Linked DNA regions of Rattus norvegicus. The protein of the gene in region 5 purifies or fractionates together with the protein of the main gene of each other region. This does not show direct contact. Links are inferred from orthologs where the notes say so. Each region holds a gene or a part of one and is shown on either strand. Other genes may lie near its edges.

Evidence for each region.
Region 1: the proteins of Srprb (region 5) and Rnf185 purify together in Homo sapiens (affinity purification with mass spectrometry; 3 studies listed by BioGRID and IntAct, with this or other methods). This does not show direct contact. The link is inferred for Rattus norvegicus from reciprocal best matches to the Homo sapiens genes SRPRB and RNF185.
Region 2: the proteins of Srprb (region 5) and Srpra purify together in Homo sapiens (affinity purification with mass spectrometry; 6 studies listed by BioGRID and IntAct, counting the BioPlex papers as one, with this or other methods). This does not show direct contact. The link is inferred for Rattus norvegicus from reciprocal best matches to the Homo sapiens genes SRPRB and SRPRA.
Region 3: the proteins of Srprb (region 5) and Tmem259 purify together in Homo sapiens (affinity purification with mass spectrometry; 3 studies listed by BioGRID and IntAct, counting the BioPlex papers as one, with this or other methods). This does not show direct contact. The link is inferred for Rattus norvegicus from reciprocal best matches to the Homo sapiens genes SRPRB and TMEM259.
Region 4: the proteins of Srprb (region 5) and Stx18 purify together in Homo sapiens (affinity purification with mass spectrometry; 3 studies listed by BioGRID and IntAct, counting the BioPlex papers as one, with this or other methods). This does not show direct contact. The link is inferred for Rattus norvegicus from reciprocal best matches to the Homo sapiens genes SRPRB and STX18.

Annotation. Positions count from the first base shown.
Region 1 is NC_086032.1:82,550,662-82,554,853, forward strand, and holds the start of Rnf185 (E3 ubiquitin-protein ligase RNF185), read right to left. Parts: upstream 2,806-4,192; 5' UTR 2,699-2,805; exon of another isoform or gene 2,628-2,698; intron 2,316-2,627; exon of another isoform or gene 2,023-2,315; intron 1-2,022. UniProt on the Homo sapiens protein: E3 ubiquitin-protein ligase that regulates selective mitochondrial autophagy by mediating 'Lys-63'-linked polyubiquitination of BNIP1.
Region 2 is NC_086026.1:41,816,942-41,820,998, reverse strand, and holds the start of Srpra (signal recognition particle receptor subunit alpha), read right to left. Parts: upstream 2,801-4,057; 5' UTR 2,681-2,800; coding exon 2,564-2,680; intron 1,959-2,563; coding exon 1,875-1,958; intron 1,603-1,874; coding exon 1,439-1,602; intron 1,105-1,438; coding exon 944-1,104; intron 600-943; coding exon 443-599; intron 348-442; coding exon 194-347; intron 1-193. Other genes in the region: Foxred1 (FAD-dependent oxidoreductase domain-containing protein 1), read left to right, coding at 3,076-3,160, 3,913-4,057. UniProt on the Homo sapiens protein: Component of the signal recognition particle (SRP) complex receptor (SR). Ensures, in conjunction with the SRP complex, the correct targeting of the nascent secretory proteins to the endoplasmic reticulum membrane system.
Region 3 is NC_086025.1:10,373,501-10,377,708, reverse strand, and holds the start of Tmem259 (membralin), read right to left. Parts: upstream 2,806-4,208; 5' UTR 2,778-2,805; coding exon 2,556-2,777; intron 1-2,555. UniProt on the Homo sapiens protein: May have a role in the ERAD pathway required for clearance of misfolded proteins in the endoplasmic reticulum (ER). Promotes survival of motor neurons, probably by protecting against ER stress.
Region 4 is NC_086032.1:76,883,259-76,886,733, reverse strand, and holds the end of Stx18 (syntaxin-18), read left to right. Parts: intron 1-1,486; coding exon 1,487-1,567; intron 1,568-2,397; coding exon 2,398-2,493; 3' UTR 2,494-2,967; downstream 2,968-3,475. UniProt on the Homo sapiens protein: Syntaxin that may be involved in targeting and fusion of Golgi-derived retrograde transport vesicles with the ER.
Region 5 is NC_086026.1:112,649,295-112,651,533, forward strand, and holds part of Srprb (signal recognition particle receptor subunit beta), read right to left. Parts: intron 874-2,239; coding exon 737-873; intron 1-736. UniProt on the Homo sapiens protein: Component of the signal recognition particle (SRP) complex receptor (SR). Ensures, in conjunction with the SRP complex, the correct targeting of the nascent secretory proteins to the endoplasmic reticulum membrane system.

The DNA.
Region 1 (4,192 bases), on a different chromosome or scaffold from region 5:
TGGGTTTGAGGCCAGCCTAGTCTACAAAGAGGGTTCCGGGACAGCCAGGGCTGTTGCATAGAGAAACTCTGTCTGGAAAACACACAAAAAGACAAAGAAAACAAACAAACAAACAAACAAACCAACAACAAAACATAAAAGTAACGCTGTGTGGGAGCCACCTCAGCAATCCAGTACTTAGGAAGCTGGAGCAGGAGAGGAGTCTGAAGCCACCCTGGATACTACGAAGGAAGGCCCTGGGCTAAGGATATAAAAAAAGAGGTTCTATACCAAATAAATTTGGTAACACCAAGCAAGCAAAACATTTTATTATGCCAGCTTATTATAAAGCCCCAAATTTTTATTGTGAGAACTCTCCGTGCCTTTAATGTGGTACTTGCATTAAAACACTAAGAAAGGATAAAGGTCAGTAGCTTTTCCTGAACTTATTTTTACCACCAAATCCCATTTTCACTTATATCAAGTGTCCCTTTAAAAGAAATTCTCAAATTAATAAGTTTTAAAATCCAACAAATTAAGAGTATTCTCCTCACCACTGAGGACACCTGAGTCTAAGGCCATACTATCTTGAATGTTAGGTAACAACTGAATGACCGTTTCACAACTTTTGTTTTTCAATCTTGAGAAACATAAACAACAGGAAAACAGGCAAGAACTTTTGGATCAGCCCCAACCTTTTGTTTTGTGGAGGAAGTGTCAGCAGAATCGGGTCATAATATGGAACCTTTGCTTCTCCAGACAACATAAGCATTCTTAAGTACTCTATCAGGAAATGGAAGAGATCTACTTCGTGTTTGGTAAAGTGCAAAGTAAGGAAATCTAATGTTAGATTAGAAAAGTCTAGGTGTGCAAGTCAGGGCCATAAAAGAATTGGTCATATATGCTGGATGTATAGCTAGCTTACAAACTGCAGACATTCTCTCACATCTGTACACACACTGCTAGAGAAAGAATTAAAGTTCAGTTTATAAACCATGGAGAAGACTGACCCAAACAACCGCAGTCAGACATCCATTCTGTAATCGGAGTTCACTGGCAAGCAGAGCCTTGGGGAACACGGGCAATCCCAACATTTGGGAGGCTAAGGCAGGAAGACCATGAGTTTAAGGTCACCCTGGGCTACATATTGATACTCTGGAAAAGGGAGAGAGAGATGGAGGGAGTAAGAGGGAGAGAGAGAGAGAGAGACAGGGACAGAAACAGAGACACAGACACAGACAAGGCAAACAGAGACTGACCTAAATTGTCCTCAGCCTGGGCTGAGTGTCAGAGTGAGAGCCTGACTTAAAATAAAGTAAAAAAAAAAAAAATTAAACATGAAACAAAAAATTACTAACCAATGCAATGGATCCCGGTTTATTAATACGACATACATTTCAGATACTTTTTATCAGATGAGTCGTTCCAAAGTCCTTGAAAAGGATGGCAAATGTGACAACCAGGAAAAGATTACATAAGATCAAGTGTGCTGGCCTCACTGACAAGAGATAGAGACTAAGGAGGAGAGCTCAAGAAAGGCAAACAAAGAAATGTCACATTCAACAGGCATAATGGTACTAAGTAACGAGAGATGCTAGCACTCCAGACTGAAGCAGGAGGATCAGAAGTTCAAGGCCAATTTGAATTGCAAGAGGAGCTTGTGGACAGCCTGAGATCTTCGATATCCTGTCTCAGACCACAAAAGAAGTGTCACAAACATTCCGAAGAGAGAGTTATCCATGGAAAGATAGATTCACAATAAATACTCAGAATAAAAGACTTTCGAATTGGAAAGGACCACCTCCTGTATACTTTCTTTCACAAGGAGACAGTCAATCCTATCAGTGGTCACCTCTGATAAGTCTTCCGTTAAATTCTTATTACTATGTACACATTTGTCTTCCCCTAGAACCCACCTATTTAATCCTAGCTGTATCTCTTTCAGCTGCAAAGATTAAGCGGGAGCCCTCTTTGATATAACCCATCCACCCAATCCCCCCACCCCGCGCCAGCTTTTAAAGATAGTTATTCTCCTCCGGCGTTCTTTCCTAAGCTAGAAGTCTCAAAGATTCCAACGGGCTCCAGCTGCCTCGAATCGAATACCGCATTCACAGCGGGACAGCATTTCAGATGAAACACCAGTAGGTATAGGACTCCCGAGGAGAACATTCAAAAGAAGGTTTCCTAGGATCCAAACCCAGATTCGAAACAAGCTGTCGGGAAAGTCCAGGGCTGAAGAGCCCGCATCCCAGAGGATTTCAGAGCAGGCGCTGTTAAGGATCATGCTTTGAGAAGCAGTGCCCGGTTGGACAAGTGTGGAAACTAGGTTCAGTGAGGTAAAGGACTTGGCCTAGAACGCACAATTAGCAGCGAACTCAAGTCCAGGTCTCCTACGCTTCATCCCAAATCTGTTCACCAAGCTCCTCATCTCTCCACTCAACCAAATCACTAACTACCCACGTGAGACAGTCCCGCCCCCGAGGCTAAGAGGGAGTCAGGGCGAGCCCCTGCCTGGCAAGGAGCTTGAGCGCGCCCTTCCCTTTTCTTGGGCCCTAGTTTGCCCAATCTGTACCCAGGAATGCCAGTCTGATCTTTCTTCTGGGACCTGGACAGAGCCAGACTAGCTGTCTCCTGATCCTTGGTTTCAGGTGCCTCTGTCCCTGAGCCCCGGAAGGGGGTCCCACGCCTCCCGGGCCCGCCGTCCTAGCTCGTCACGTACCTGTCCCCGTAGAGCGAGCGCCAGCGACGCCACCAGTCCGTTCCCCTGTCCCACAGTGGACAAGCCAGTCTTAGAGACGCGTCAGTCAGGAAGATTGAACCTCCGAACCCTCCTACCCGGATCTTGATCACCTGACAAGGAGCCACCTCTATTAGAGCAACTTCCGGTTACAGCCGGAAAAGGCTGGTGTGGCAGCACTGCGTTCCGGCCCAGGCGCCGGGTTCTTAAGTTCCGCCCCGGGACAGGAAGGGGAGGGCTTTCGGCCTTTTCCCAGTGTTTCCTGGAGGAGGAAAAGTAGTTCAATGGGTGGCCTTGCTTGCTTCGCCTGCGTGAGGACTTGGGAATAAATGTGTGTTTGCACTCCAGTTAATCACATCATTCATTCGGGTGCTGGATCAGAACTTCAATATGGTTTTCAAAGCAGGCTTGGGATACGTGAGACCGTGTCGCAAAAAAATGGGCGGAAAGGGCTTCCTTCCTTGCTTTTAAAAAAAAAAAAGTCCTAGAGATACCAGCTTAGAATGCCTTGTATTAGAATGTAGGCAGTGGTTGTTCTGTTTTATTTAAAAAAAAAAAAAAGAGGCCAGGATATGTTTTGGTAGAGGCGCTGGTGAGGTGGGAAGGGTGCCTCAGCGGGCCCATCCTTAGGCATCTCTTCCCCGTGAGGCACCAGCCATACCACGGATATAGTTTGGAATAGTTAATTTAGGGCATGGGAAGTGGAGTTGGGAAGGGAGGAGGGAGAGAGAAGAGGCCGGGCAGGGACGCTTGGAGAGAGGGAGGGAGGGAGAGAGAAGGGGAGAAAGGGGCCAGGGAGAGAAGGAGCAAAGACTATGAAGGAGAGAAGGGGCGAACAGCCCCGTTTATAGTAAGCCAGGCACACCTGGCTGTTGCCAGGTAACTGTGGGCGGAGCCTAGAAGGAACGCTAACAGTGGTGATGAATGGGAATGGGTAAAACGACACAGCTCTCTTGAAGACTCTACTAGCCAAGTCCGTGAATTTTCAGTATCAAAATAATAAAGATAGTAAGAGTATAACTAACTGGAGCCCCGTGAGTTGGTTCAGCAGGTAAAGATGCTTGAGGCCAAACCTGTCAATTCTAGTTCAATCCCCAGAAACCCACCGGGGGGAAGGAGTCTGGCAAGTTATCACCTGACCTTCACATGTGTACAGATACACTTAATAAATACATCTTAATTTATTTTAAAACTATTTTATTTTAAAACTGATTAGATGAGCTTGTGACCAAAGAGGGATTTTTTTTTACAGTAGCAAGTGCATTTTTTTTATATTTAAAAAGTGACTAGAAAAATTGATGTTTTAACTTTCAATGTATAAAAAAAGTTAGTTCAGTGCAGGTGAATGCCTTTGCCGTGCAGCTGTGCTTTTTCGGGAGTGAGGGTGGGGGATACAGAGCAGGCACACCTCATTCTGTAGAACAAGAGGGATCTTCCATCCTGGCCTTGGACAAGCAGGAGTGGTAGCATCCCTGT
Region 2 (4,057 bases), about 71 Mb from region 5:
AGACAAAGTGATCAGGAAAACCAATGGCTGAGGGAAATAGCCCAGGATATACTCTTGTCAACATTAATATTTGAGCCTTGGAGAAACTCCAAATATAGTTCCAAATATAGTTTCCCAAATCCAGATATATCCTCTGTTTCCTTCCCAATTTCTGGCTAATGGTGACCTTCACTCTGACCTTTATACATCTTACCAAGTTGATATCTTCAGAAAGGGCTGCCTCTGGAGTTCCATTGGTGGTGGGAGTACTGTAATCCAAGACTTCCTTGTTAGCACAGCCACCTAGTTCCCACACCCGGGGTGCTTTTTTGCCTTTCTCCTTTGGAATATCTGACTTTGTAGATTTACTGCAAAGGATTACATAAGAAAAAGTTACAGTAGTAAAGTAGCAAAGAACATGAGAAAAGAATTCCACCATCAGAGATTGGTTAATGCTGCTCACCTGGATTTGTCCAGGCCCTTCCCATGCTTCTGAATGAACTCCTCTCTCTTCCTACGTATCAGCTCCTCTTTGGAAAGTTCCCCATTCTCAGGTCCCACTGGGAGACCTGACTTTTCTGCAGGGGCTGTTTTGCTGGTAGCCAAAGGGCCATCAGAACCTGTTAAGAGAAACCTCACTGAAGGAGAAACACACAAATCCCAAGCACCTATATAATACCTACAGTTCTTCCAAATCCTTGCAACCACCAATAACCTTCCTGTTATATGGCATTGCCTACTGGGAAGAGTCATACACTTGAATTGGCTCTAACCTCTAGCTGCTAAGCCTACCCCTTTCCCCAGCTAACTTGAACAAACTTGTACCAAACACCTTGGAGATTACAATGCCAGAAGGGGATGATGGGGGGTGAGCATTAAGTTAAGGGAGGCCAGCAATGACCAAAGGACTACTACAGACCTTTATAGCACTATACCCTAGCATGTTCAGAAAACTCAAACACACCTTCCTTTTTGGACCCCTTTTTTTTGTTGTTTTTTGCTTTTTCCTTGGTCTTTTCCCCCCGTGTTTCAATCATGGATCTCACAGGTTTCTTAGCTTTTTCAGAATCTTCAAATTTCTTCATGGTAGTGGGAGCACGGATCTTACTGCTCTCCTCTGCTTCACTGAAGAGAAAAGAGACTGTTGGTCCTTCTATCCATGTAAGAGGAAGGACTCTTGACTTCAGAAAAAGGTCCCACATATCAAAAGGACAATCAGAAACAAGTTACAAAAATGTGACTGGTTTGAACCCATGTTAATATTGATAAGCCACCTACAGGCAGGGCACTCTTTTTTTTTTCCCTTTTTTCTTTTTCTTTTTTTCAGAGCTGGGGACCGAACCCAGGGCTTTGTGCTTGCTAGGCAAGCGCTCTACCACTGAGCTGAATCCCCAACCCCCAGGCAGGGCACTCTCAGATCATGAAAAATTTCCCTTTATGAAGAGGGAAAGCCTCTCACCGAAGGAGCCGCAGGAAGTCATTTTGGAAATCAAAAGTGCCATTCAATAAACTTAAAGCACTCTGTTGTTGGATCTCTGTGCGGTACTTATCCCGGAACAGCCGGTGCACATCATCTATCAATTTGTCTACATAGGTCAGTGTGAGGATCTTCTGAAAGCCAACCTGTTTATGGAAGGACACAGGGCCAAAAGATCTCCTTACAAGCCAGCCCAGCATGGAAGGAAGCCAACTCAACCCAGGCCTCCTGAGATAGGTTTCCTGTCCTGAGAGGCAGCCAAGCTTTCTACCTTACCCAGAAGTTGCTTTCTTTCTCCCCTCCACATTCCTAATATTTCTATTACTTTATCACACACACAATACCCATAATTAACTGGATTCATCAATGGACATTCTGTTGAGAACATAACTTGTCTTTCTAACATAACCCCACTTACCACAAACACCAGTTCAAACTGGTTGTCCAGTTTATACTTGAGTGTGAGAGCCTCATGAGTGAAAGAGTTGTTACCTCCCCGTTCCTGGAAAAAGAGTGTTACAGCATTCAGGCTATCCACAGCAAAACCAGACTTTGAACTATGTTTGGGAAATAACCAGATATTATCCCGGGCTCAACAAGGGAATACTGAGACATTTCTCTAGCATCCAGCCAGAAAAGGAGACAGACAGACAGACAGACAGACAGACAGACAGACACCAAGTAGGGACAAGGGATAAAGCTGGGAGAGGAGACACGACACGTGGGAGTCAGAAAGTAAACAATCATATATAAACAATCAGATCTTCTAACAGCTGTGAACCATTTAGTTCACCTGAAAGCTGTTCTCACATCCACAGTCTCACCCAACCTCAAAACAATAGAAAACCAAGCTGCCCGGATGAGTGGAGAGAGAGCTCAAGTCTATTAGGACGCCAGAACAGGGCTAGAGCCCCGGAAACGGAAGGTGTGGGGGGCGTCGCAAAGTTTAGGGATACAGTGATCCAGGAAAGGAAGCGATCCTGGGTGGTCGGTAAGCGACCAGTTTGAGGGGGTCAGGACAGAAGACGCGGAATGATTACTGGAAGGGGGACCACGGTCTGGGTCTGAGGGACCAGAGCCCGGAGTTCTGCCCCGCGGGAGTGGTACCTGCAGCAGTACAGAACGAATCAACGCGTTCACGGGCCCGGTGCACGAGTCGCTCACGCCCTGGAAACACCAGAGCACAAGCCCGCCCTTCGAGAAGATGGTGAAGAAGTCAAGCATGATGGAAGCGGGAGAAGACTTGGGGCCGAGACCGGCGCCGGGAACTCGGGCCGCGTCCGCCGCCGCTTCCTGCTGCGCCAAGCGCGGGACACGTCACACCAGCAGCCCCCGGAAACCGGTTCAGCCGCACTTCCGCTACGGGCCGCAGGGGTCCCGCCCCTTCCCCCGCTAGGGCGCGCGGGATGACGTAGGCGCAAGACTAACTAATAGCAAACATGGGCGAGACTCCCAAGGCGCTAGCTCCCTATAGCGTGAAGGGGTGGAGCCTAAAGAGCACTGCCGGCTAATCGGCGCATTCGCGTCTATTCCCTGTGGCGCGGACCGATGACTAGAAAGACACAGTCGGCCTGAGCGGCAGGCACCTCAAGCTGGAAGAAGCCGGGCTCTGTAAGGCCATGTTTCGCAAAGTGCTGCGTCTTGGCCTGTGCCCGGGCCTCCCTACCCGGGGGCTACGCACACGCACAGGAGGCTTTACTCTGGGTAAAGCTGAGGGCAGCAGAGAAAATATTTTAGCGGTTCTGGGGAGCCCAAAACCTCCATATACGTGACCTTCAAGGTTCGACCCCCTGCCTCGTGCTGGCAGGGCATCGAGTTAGCTGGGAAGAGGGGTGGGCTTGCCTGCTAGAGGTTAAAGAGCCAGTCCAAGTGTATGGTTCTCAAGGAGGCTCTTCCCAGTGGACAATAAATGGAAAGTTGCTGGTGGTAATGGATAAGGATAAAGATCATACAGAAGTGCCCGGCTTTAGAAGGGGGACTCGTGTTCTCTGGGCCTGGTATACCTGAGTGGAGATAAATGTGCAGTTGAATATCTGAGAATGGGGCTCGGGAGGGAGAGAAGGTCTGTAAAACTAAGTAATGTGGGGTTGGGGGTTTAGCTCAGTGGTAAAGCCCTTGCCTAGCAAGTGCAAGGCCCTGGGTTCGGTCCCCAGCTCTGAAAAAAAAAAAAAGAAAAAAAAAAACTAAGTAATGTGAGTCACCCTAGCTTGACGGGGAAATAGAAAGTGTAATTTTAGGAAGTTGTTAGAGGAGATGCATGACAGGTGGGACAAAGACCAAACAGCAAAGTTGGAATAATACCCCTGCGAATGAGTTGATCTTATGAGAAAGAATGACGTTGGAGATGTGCCAACCCAAACGTCTATTTCAGCCCACCTTTCCCTGTGCCCATCCTCCAACCCCCAAAGCACGTAGAGAAGAGCCTAAGTCCATCTAACTGTAACTATGTCCTGCAGACTGGGATACAAAGGTGTCTGACTTTAAGAAGAAGATTGAGTCTATCCTGCCGGGAAAGCAATGTGAAATGGTGTATGACACCAGCCACCTGCCCCCAGAACAGTCGGATGTGGTCATCATCGGCGGTGGGATTCTTGGTCTGTC
Region 3 (4,208 bases), on a different chromosome or scaffold from region 5:
TCAGGGCCCTGACGGTCCTTAGCAGCCCTGCACACCCAGTGTGTGCATGGGAGTCGCTATGCTCTTCAGGGACGAGGCTGGACTCCCAGTCCACAATCCCAAGGTGCTCAGCCACAGCGAGCACAGTAGGGCCCTCCCTGCCTGCTGTTAGGCAGCGCTGTAGGGGACACACGTGACCTAAGACCAGGAGCAAGCACAAAGACCAGGCTCCATACCCATGTGCCTGCTCCTCAGGCCTCTCCTCTGTAATCTGGTGACAGAGCTGCACCCACAGAGCACCTAGCCCTCCGAGCAGTGACCCGAGGGGATGCAGAGCAGACAGGGAAGGCCCTGGGACTGAAACTAAGACTGCAGTGTGGAGCCAGCCACACTTGACACTGGCACCCACACCTGTCAACTGTGAGGCTCCCCTGGGCAGGAAATGGATTTTTGTATTGGGTGAAATGACGGCTGACCAGCCCAGGCTGAGACCCCAGCAGCCACGCTTGCCAGTCCAACCAAGAGCCAGGAACTGTGTCACCAGCTCTGTCCCACCTACTGGGCATCTAGACTCAAAGGGAGGTAGCCACTGTAAGGGTGGACATAGCCTGGGCTTTCTCTTCCCACCGTGGCCACTTTGGCCAGTGCACAAGTCCTCGCCTGTCACTGAGCTAGAGCCTGGCATCCCACTCAGGCCCTTGGGCACTCCGCCCCCATCTGCCCCTTGGTGCCAAATACACAGGCACTGAACCTGGTCACATCAGCCTGGTGGGGACTGCATGCCATCACCTCCTGCAGACCCTCAATGCCACCATCTAGGGTTCTCAGGGTACCTCCTACCCTGTAAGCAGGGAGTGTCTCATTGTCACCCCAGTCTGGCATCTGGAGCTGTCAGTCCATCTGACCAATAGGAAACCTGCACTGGGTATAGACTACCAGGCTCAGCCACGATCTCCAGATCTTAACCCACCCAAGGGTTCCACTTAGCACCTTCTGGGGCTCAGATCCACTTAGAGCTGGTGTCATTCACCTCCTTGCCCTTTGACGCTGGCCCACATCCTAAGGTCTAAGGCACCATGCTGTGCCACAGTCTATCCCATGTGTGTCCCACGGTCGCCCACTTGTCAGCTGCTTAGCCCAGGTGCTTGGGGCCACATTCTGTGTCTGCCCAGTTTCAGTCTTTGAGACTGTGAAGCCAGCAGAGAGGACACCAAGTCCAAAAGCTCTTCCCTGGGCCTGTCAGAGCTGACACCCAGGCTGGGGTGGGGACAGGGTACAGGGCGGTACAGGCCTAGCAGCCTTGGCTGCCAGGCACGTCCCCTCTATGAAGGTTGGGCGGAAGCTGGGTAGGCAGGAAACACAGCAAAAGGGCTCCCTGAAACCTCGGCAGCCCCAGAAACCAGCTGCTGTATGGCTTGTCTGTCCCGATTAAGAAAAAAGTGTGGGGTCGGGGCTGAGGATTTAGCTCAGTGGTAGAGCGCTTACCTAGGAAGCGCAAGGCCCTGGGTTCGGTCCCCAGCTCCGAAAAAAAGAACCAAAAAAAAAAAAAAAGAAAAAGTGGGGGGTCAACTGTCATCCAACAGACCCTGTCTCTGACAAGGTATCGGGTACCCCAAGCTGAGGGCCACCACTGGGGACTCAGGGTGTGGAAGGCAGGGAGAAAGAAGGGGCAGTGGCAGACTGCAGACTGTGGACTGGAGCCTGAGGGGCTCAACCCCACATCTGTTTCAATCTCATGCTGGAAGTACTTCCATGAATCCCCCAAACTGACAGCTTTGAAACAGTGCTAGGAGCCAGTCCCACATTCACCAAAGCCACCGGAGAAGGCAATGCCCTCCAACATCAGCACACCCACCACCATGCCATGCCCCCAACACCAGATGGCCCAGGCAGCTCCTCTCAGAGAGAAGCCTAGGGACAGAGCCTGGTGGCTATCCCTCTGGAGTAGCCTTTGTTATATTGAGAACTCAGTATCTCTCAGGAGCACACCAGGAAGACACAGCAGAGCAAGTACTGGCTACAGAGGTCCCTGGCCAATGTGGCTGTGACTTTGTGGCTAACCCTAGCGAGGTGACCCCACCAAAGCCACAAAAGATCTGGCAAGAAGTGACAGAGAAGAGCAGGGACACTGGGAGGGCTGGGGACTATCCCCAGGTGAGCTTCAGGGTGTGTTAGGATGGAAATGACAGGCGGGACAGGGCCTCCAGCACAGGGGGTTGTCCACAGTGGAACTTCAGGATGGGATGGAACTGACCACACTGTTCTCAGTGGAGGTGCAGGACAGAATGGGAGTGACAGGTGGGAGGGGGGGACCTCGAGTCCAAGATACTACCTCAAGAAGACACTGGGCTCTGGTCTTGGGTGGAAAAATTTGGGGCCTAGGTTCCCAAGTGGCAGAGTCAGAGGCCAAAGGGCAAGAGGCGGGGCCTGAGAGCTGAGGAAGTGGGGATCAGAGGATGCATCTGTGAGAAGATTGGCATCAGGGTATTCAGGCCAAGTCAGGGGCCAAGTGGTAAAGCTGAGGGGGTGGGCAGGTGGATGACAGCTGGGGTCAGAGGTCAGGGGTCAGAGGTCACCTTGAGCAGAACGAAGAACTCAAAGAGGCGGCGGAAAGCAGGTGGGAAGAGGCGTGAGTAGGTGACGGCCATCTTGAAGAAGAGCGCGTGGAAGAGCCGGTCGCGCACGTTGATGAGCGGGTTGGGGTTGAGATTGGGGCCGCGCGGGCCGCGCACGGGCGCCGCGCCGCCACCCCCGCCGCCGTTGGGCCCGGGCCCTGGGGCTGCCGCGTGCTCCGACATCACCGCCCCGCGTCACCCCGGCGGCCGCCGGCTGCCCCCCCGCCGTGTCCCGGCCGCCGGATCCCCCCCGCCGCCCCCGGCCGCCGCCGCCTGCGCCTGTGCTCGCGTCCGTCCGGCCCGCGACGCCGGCGAGAGCGCCGGGCCAGAGCGCCACCCGTGCGCGGGGCACGCTGGGATCGCCACGGCCGCCCGAGGAGGCCGGGCTTCAGAGCCGGAAGGCTGGCACCACAAGTGGGCGGAGCCTGGTTACTGCTCTCAAACTTCAAACCCGTCGCCCCAGTGCTAAAAGGCCGGAGTAACACGGAGTTCAGTTTATTTTCCTAGTCCTCCTTAAAGCTTTGGTCGGTCTCATTTGCTTTGGGCTTGCAATTTGCGGAGGCTACACGGAGCGGAATAGAGAGGAGCCCGGTTCATTTGCAAAAATTCACTCCCACACACTGTGGCATGGTCTATGGCAGAGTCGTGTGTCACGACTCATTTGCACTGAGCTAAAATAAAAAAAAATCTTTTATATATGTGAGTACACTGTAGCTGCGTTCAGACCAGAAGAGGGCATCAGATCCCATTACAGATGGTTGTGAGCCACCATAATGGATGCTGGAAAATGAACTCAAGACCTCTGGAAGGGCAGTCAGTGCTCTTAGCCATCTCTTCAGACCAAAGCTGTATCTTAAGCATTGAGCTTAGGGGCTGGAGAGATGGCTCAGCCGTTAAAGGTTAGGCTCACAACCAAATATATAAGCATTGAGCTTAGGCACTGAGGCAGTGTCGCGTACAATCCGTTTCGTTTGTGTAGGGAACCAGGTTCGCGGCGGTCGAGCTATGGGGCGTGGTCTCAGAAACAAGCTTAAGCATTTGCAACTAGTGGGCGGGGCGACGTTGCTAGTCTTATCTACACCGGGTTTTCTATTAGCGGAGGATCAGAGGGGGCGGAGACGCATGTAGCAAGGCCTATTTACTATTTACATAGGGCTTCACTACGGCCACAGCCTCACTTAGGGGCGGAGTCCGGTGGGGAGTCATTAGCATAGCCCGTTGAGGAATCATTACCAGCCTTGCCCTGGGAGGCAGAGCTTTCTAGCACTGTTCATTAGGGGCGAAGCTCCATGGGGATAGTTTACCAGCATTCAGTTTGCCCATCGCACCAAGAGCACGGATTCCCCGCCGATCGGGCTGGGCTACCACTGAGGGGCGGAGCCGCGTAGTATCTGTCTAATTTGCATATGGCTTCCCAGAAGGCCTTGCTGGTGCAGCTTCTCCCAGATGGCTACATTAATTAATTTGTAAGCTTTTACGCGCATAGATAATTATGTTCAGCGTCGTTACGAAGGGTGGCCCTTCCTTTTGACGTATAAAGACATCACTTTATATACACAAAAAAGCACAACTACTCTATGTGAAAAGTAATTATATTCCCTGCGCTTAAATATC
Region 4 (3,475 bases), on a different chromosome or scaffold from region 5:
GCATCGGATCCCATGTCAGATGGTTGTGAGCCATCGTGTGGTTGCTGGGAATTGAACTCAGGACCTCAGTGCTCTTAACTGAGCCATCTCTCCAGCCCTCTTCATAAGTATCTTAAAGAGTTACTGAAGCTACGTGTGAAGGCCATGAGCCCTGGAGACAGGCTTTGTGCAGACACTTGGCCTGATGGCCATGTCAGCTGCATGACAGAGGAAGCCATCAAAGCAAGCTCCGGCATAGCGGCTTGCTCTGAGGAGAGTCGCCTTGGCTGAAGCATACAGCTTTCAGGGTGACCAGGCCACATTCTGGATACTCCACCCTGTGTGCTGTCGTCAGTACTTCTCCTAAGCCCCATTATATGAAGTGGCTGGTGCCCCATGCCTCACTCTCAGAGCCAACAAGTAGTACCACTGACCTACCTGGCCTTTCAGTGGGACTCTGACCAAGCCAGGTAGTGCCCTGCTTTAGTAGCACCACATACACCACCATGAATATGGCCTCTACATGGTACTCCAGTAACACACCCTGGCTGGCCATACAGGAAAGGGTCCAGTATTCAGACTTCTACTGTCCCAGAGGTCTAGGCAAACAGCCCCACTGAGAAAGAAGAGATGTGCCCTAGAAGAGGTGCAGTGCTTTATGAGGTCAGTGTCCCTCTGGAGTCCACCAAGGGCCCCTTGAACTGTGTTTATGTCAGTACCTCGGGTTGTTTATGGCAAACTCCTCAGCTCCTGTTCTGTGTCCCCTCCCCAGTCAGTGTGCTACTACCCACATCCCTGGCCCATGGGCCATGTGCACTCCAGTGATGTCTCTGCTGGGGACTGGGTAACTGAGGAAGGGGTCCCCAAAGCCCACATTAGAGCATACCTCCTTCCCTTCCGACAAAACAGCACCTCATGGCGGGTATGCTAAGGTCTCCAATAGCATTGTCTCATGGTCAGAGGCCAGCACCCCTACTTCCAAGTTCTCTCAGCATCTACACAGGGCATTTGCAGCCAGCAGTTCATGTGTTGTTCTAACTCTTACCCATTTAGCAATGTGTTAAAACATTGGATGGCTAATGTGTTTCAAAGCCTGTAACATCTTGAAGCTGGCTGCTGGACCTTATAAAGAATAAACAGAATGCTGGAGGAGAGCCCTTAGTGGGAGTGGCCAGTCCAGAATCAGCAGTTCATATTTGTCCTTGTCACTTAATGAGTAACACTGGAGAGATAGCATATAGTGTGAGCTGTGCAATCTGACACTAGAGCCTTATCCTAGTCCTGCCACTCAGACAGTATGTGACCCTCTGTAAACTAGTAGACATCTCTGAGCCGTAAATTCCTGTTTGTTGGGTGAGGCTCACCTCTCTGGAGATGATTCCCAGACAGTGTAGGTACAGCCTTTGGACCTTGGAACATGGCAGCACGAATTGCAGAAGAATGTTTTCTTGTTGGAGGAAAGAATGACTGAGGGTCATTCCTTCCCTGATATTCTTTCCTTCCACAGGAAACCGAGATCGACAGCATTCACCAGTTAGTTGTGGGGGCAACTGAAAATATTAAGGAAGGCAACGAAGACATACGAGAGGTGGGTATCTGGTGCTTTCCAGTCTGATGTGGCCCAGCCCTGCATCCCAGCAGCCTGAATGTCACTAGTGAAGCTGTCCAAGAGTACTGTGTAGTGTTCAGGGCCCATCTTGTAGCTGTAGTCATGGGTTTATAGTCAGAGGCAGCCTAAGAGCATAAGAGTGTTCACAAGACCTGCTGGCCAGCCTCCAGCCGATTCTCAGGAGAAAGTAGCTCCCATCCCTGCGAGGACAGTGGGTGGGAGAGCATCCAGGAAGGGTCAGGATAACCTCAAAGCAAGGATGAGCCAACAGAGGGCAGGAGCCCAGAAACTATGGAAGGCACCGAGCCTAATGAGCTGACCATCTCTAAATCCCAGGCCTCCTGCTTGTCCCTGTGTCACCATAGATAGGCATCACTGGAAAACCCAAGCCCTGGTTCAAATGGGAATAAGCCCTGGGGAATTGAGTCCTGGGATGTTAGGCTTTGCCCAACAAGAAGAAGTTGGGGACAGAGCAAGCAAAATGGCTCCGTGGATAAATGTGTTTGCTGCCAGGCAGGACAACCTGATTTTAATTTCTGAAATCCACATGACAGAAGCAGAGAATTAACTCTATTTTCCTCTGACCCTACCCCTACATACACCGTAGCATGCATTCCCACCTACACAGCATCGAGATAAATGTAATTTTAAAAATTAAATCCAAGGTCTTTGTTCCCTGTCAGGTGTCCATACACAGTGGCTTTTGTTCCTATCTAATGAGAGCATAGGATCCACCAAGCGGTGTGTGGGGGCACCTAGGCTTCTGAAACAGTCCAGGGCGATGCTAACACCTGTGCTCCCTCTGCCAGGCCATCAAAAACAACGCAGGCTTCCGAGTGTGGATCCTCTTCTTCCTCGTGATGTGTTCCTTTTCCTTGCTCTTCCTCGACTGGTATGACAGCTAGCCCACCAGGGCCTGGCCTGCACCACTGCCCTGGACAGACCACGTGCCAGCGTGTGCCTCATCTGCTGTGGGGTTGCGTAAGGCCCAAGGGCTGGGAAAGCATGGCCCCCAAACCAACCTGTGCACCTCAGGACCTGGAAATACATGGACTGCCAGTGCCCTGTATGCTCTTCAGGGTGCAAGATAAAGGTAGTCAGGAGCTGCACTGTCAGGACAGGCCACATGCATGGTGGAGGCTGAGCAACGCAAGGATACAGCACGCCTCCTGTCCCCATCTCCTGCCTTTCCCACACCAGTAGCTTCAGGGAAGAACATGCCTACTGTTTCTAAAATCGTTAGTTCTTATTTCCTTGTGGCATCTAATGTGTGCCGGCTTATATGTGGCCGATATGTGGCTGATATATTTTGTCACCATTTTGTCACAGAAAATATTCACATCTGCCTTGTCAAGCTAATAAACGCAATTACAGCCATATATTGCAGTCAGTGAGTCTCCACTGAGCCCCTCTGACCGCCACCTGCTGGACAGACTGGGGCCTCCATAGGCATCTCTACCGACCTGCCACATCCCCCCACACACTTTTTAACCTCAAAGCTAGGGCCTAGGGGCGTGGGAAGCCTCATTTCCTGCCGCTGGGTCCCAGAATTTGTATTCTAAGAAGGACGTGGATCTCAGAAGAGTGGGCCTTCTGCCCTTGTTCCTGCATACTTGCTCCTCTAGAAGAGGCCACAGGGTTGCGAGCTGAGAACTAGAAGTGTATGCCGCATGGCCTACATCTGTGTACAGATGTTTCCTGGGTCACACAATTCCTGCTGAAGCATACGAGTACAGATGTCCAGTGTGCGGCTTAGGTACCCACGAGCTCTTTATTTGCAGAGCGAACATGAGACGTTACATTGGGAGAGTTCACAGTGGGTAAAGGGCTACGTTAGAAAACACAACAGGAGGAGGTTGGGGATTTAGCTCAGTGGTAGAGCACTTG
Region 5 (2,239 bases):
CCTCATACAAAACCAAAGAAGCTGGCTGGGGCTAGAGACGGCTCAGTGGTTACAGCACTGGCTTCTCTTCCAGAGGACCAGGTTCAAGTCCTAGCACCCACATGTCAACTCACAACTATCCCAGTGGATCCAAAGCCCTTTTCTAATCTTCTCAGGCACCAGGTATGCCTGAGGATCAGCACTACACACACACACACACACACACACACACACACACACACACACACACACTCTTTAAAATAAGATGCTAAGAGCCATACCACTCATCAGGTATTAGGATTTTTAAAAATCACTGCTGAAAAATGCTCCAGGCTCCTGAGAAAGGCAGGCGTGAAAGACCTATGTTACATGGCCTGGCCGCAGAGCCAACCCAAGTGTGAGCGCTGGGATAAGGGGGAACAGTGGTACGGCCTGTTTGGAAGGAGAGGCCCCACAATCCCCCAGAACCAACAGTACATGGCCTCACAAACTAACATTTGGTAAAGTAAGAGAATTTATGATCTTTAAAAAGCACTGTGTCATAAAAAAAGGCTGTAATATCAACACAGCCTGCAGCTGCGAGTCCTTGGGACAACCTGGTAAAAGACCAGGAAAGTAATAGAAACAGATTTTCAGATTAAACCCCTTAATTAATGTCTAACTACAGCTCCTCCCCCATGCTCAGCAATAACGACTGCAGGTGAAGAACTAGTTCCCAGCAGCAGTCCTCCGAGGATCAGCTGCACGCCAGAAGCACCTTGCTTATTGCAGGCTACTAAGAAGGCCGGTGTGTTCTTCAGAGCCATGCTGTCGATGAGGACCTGGTACAGAAACTCAGCCACATCTTTCACCTCCCGCTGGAACGTTGCACTGTCCACCACGAACACCACAGCCCTGCAGGGACGGTTAGAGGGAAGGACACATGAGTACACAACAGCAAGCAGGAGCCACACAGGATCCCTCCGTGGGACCTGACTTCAGATAACAGCAACGACACCCATCATGTACCAGAGTAACCTCAGACAACAGGTCCTAGGGGCCAGGTGGGGAGAATGTGCGATGGCTAACAGGGCCAGGGCAGCTGGACCAGACACCGCACACGAAACTTCTAACTCAAAGGCAGTCTAATGCAGGCTGCGGCCAGAAAATAATTTTAAAGAAATTAAAACACCTGGTCTCCACTGGCTACAACTATGGGGCATAATTGGACACTAACCCTTGGAATAGGAGCCCTAAACATAAGATTCTATAAGGATTTTCATCAAACCCTCATGGAGGGTGCTAACAAGTGGAAATAGCTGTGGGGTCGGCCTTCCATGTCCTACAGTGACAAAGACCTCCAACCTTATCAATGACACCTGTTCTCTTGGAGGAGGGGATCTGGATCAAAACATACATGAAAATATGCAATTATAAGAGACATTAATCAGTACTCCCAAAACTGGAGTTTAGAGCAATCTAAGCACATGTTTATGGGCTGGACATGTAGCTCAGTTAGCAGACTGCTTGCATAGTAAACACACCCTTTATCCCATCCCAGCCAGCATAAAAACAAGCAAAGTAATCCTGTAATCCGGCACTGAGGAGGTAGAAGCAGGAGATCAAACACTCAAGTTCATTTTTGGCTGAACAGTGAGTTCAAGGTCAGGCTGAGCTACATCAAATTCTACCTCCAAAAAACAAAAAAGTCATAATATATGTTTAAAATTATTTTAGAGGATAATACTAGAAGCAAATAAAAAGAAACAGGTAGACTTTTAAAGGGTATTTTTAAAAGAACACATTGTAAAATAGTAAATATATTAGCAACGCAGTGGAAACTAAGCAGAGGTTCTCTCAGCTGAAAAGGACACAGCAAACTCGGCCGCAGATCTGAGGGGCTAACGCACCACTCGAGAGAGAATCTGTTAGCTCAACTATCGAAGAGCTAGGGCGGAGAGAAGGGCCCATGCTGTGACAAGCCAGACAGCAGGCAGTGCCATTTTTTGCAATCACAGGGTTTGATGAATCAGGCCCAATGTCTATTCTAATCTTTCACTTGGGGATCTTATGCCTGCAGAGTGTCCATTTGCACCTTGTAGCGGTGAGGCACGGAGACCAGATGTCCCAGTTTCTTTGCAATTCCTTTCCACCCACATTAGACTACCTGTGAGTGGCATGCTTTGCACAGAGTGGTTGGTCCGGCTGCCCCCCAAGGCCTCTTAGCATGTAACAGATAACGCCCTTCTGTGTAGGGTGGTGAACTTGAATTCTGAACACC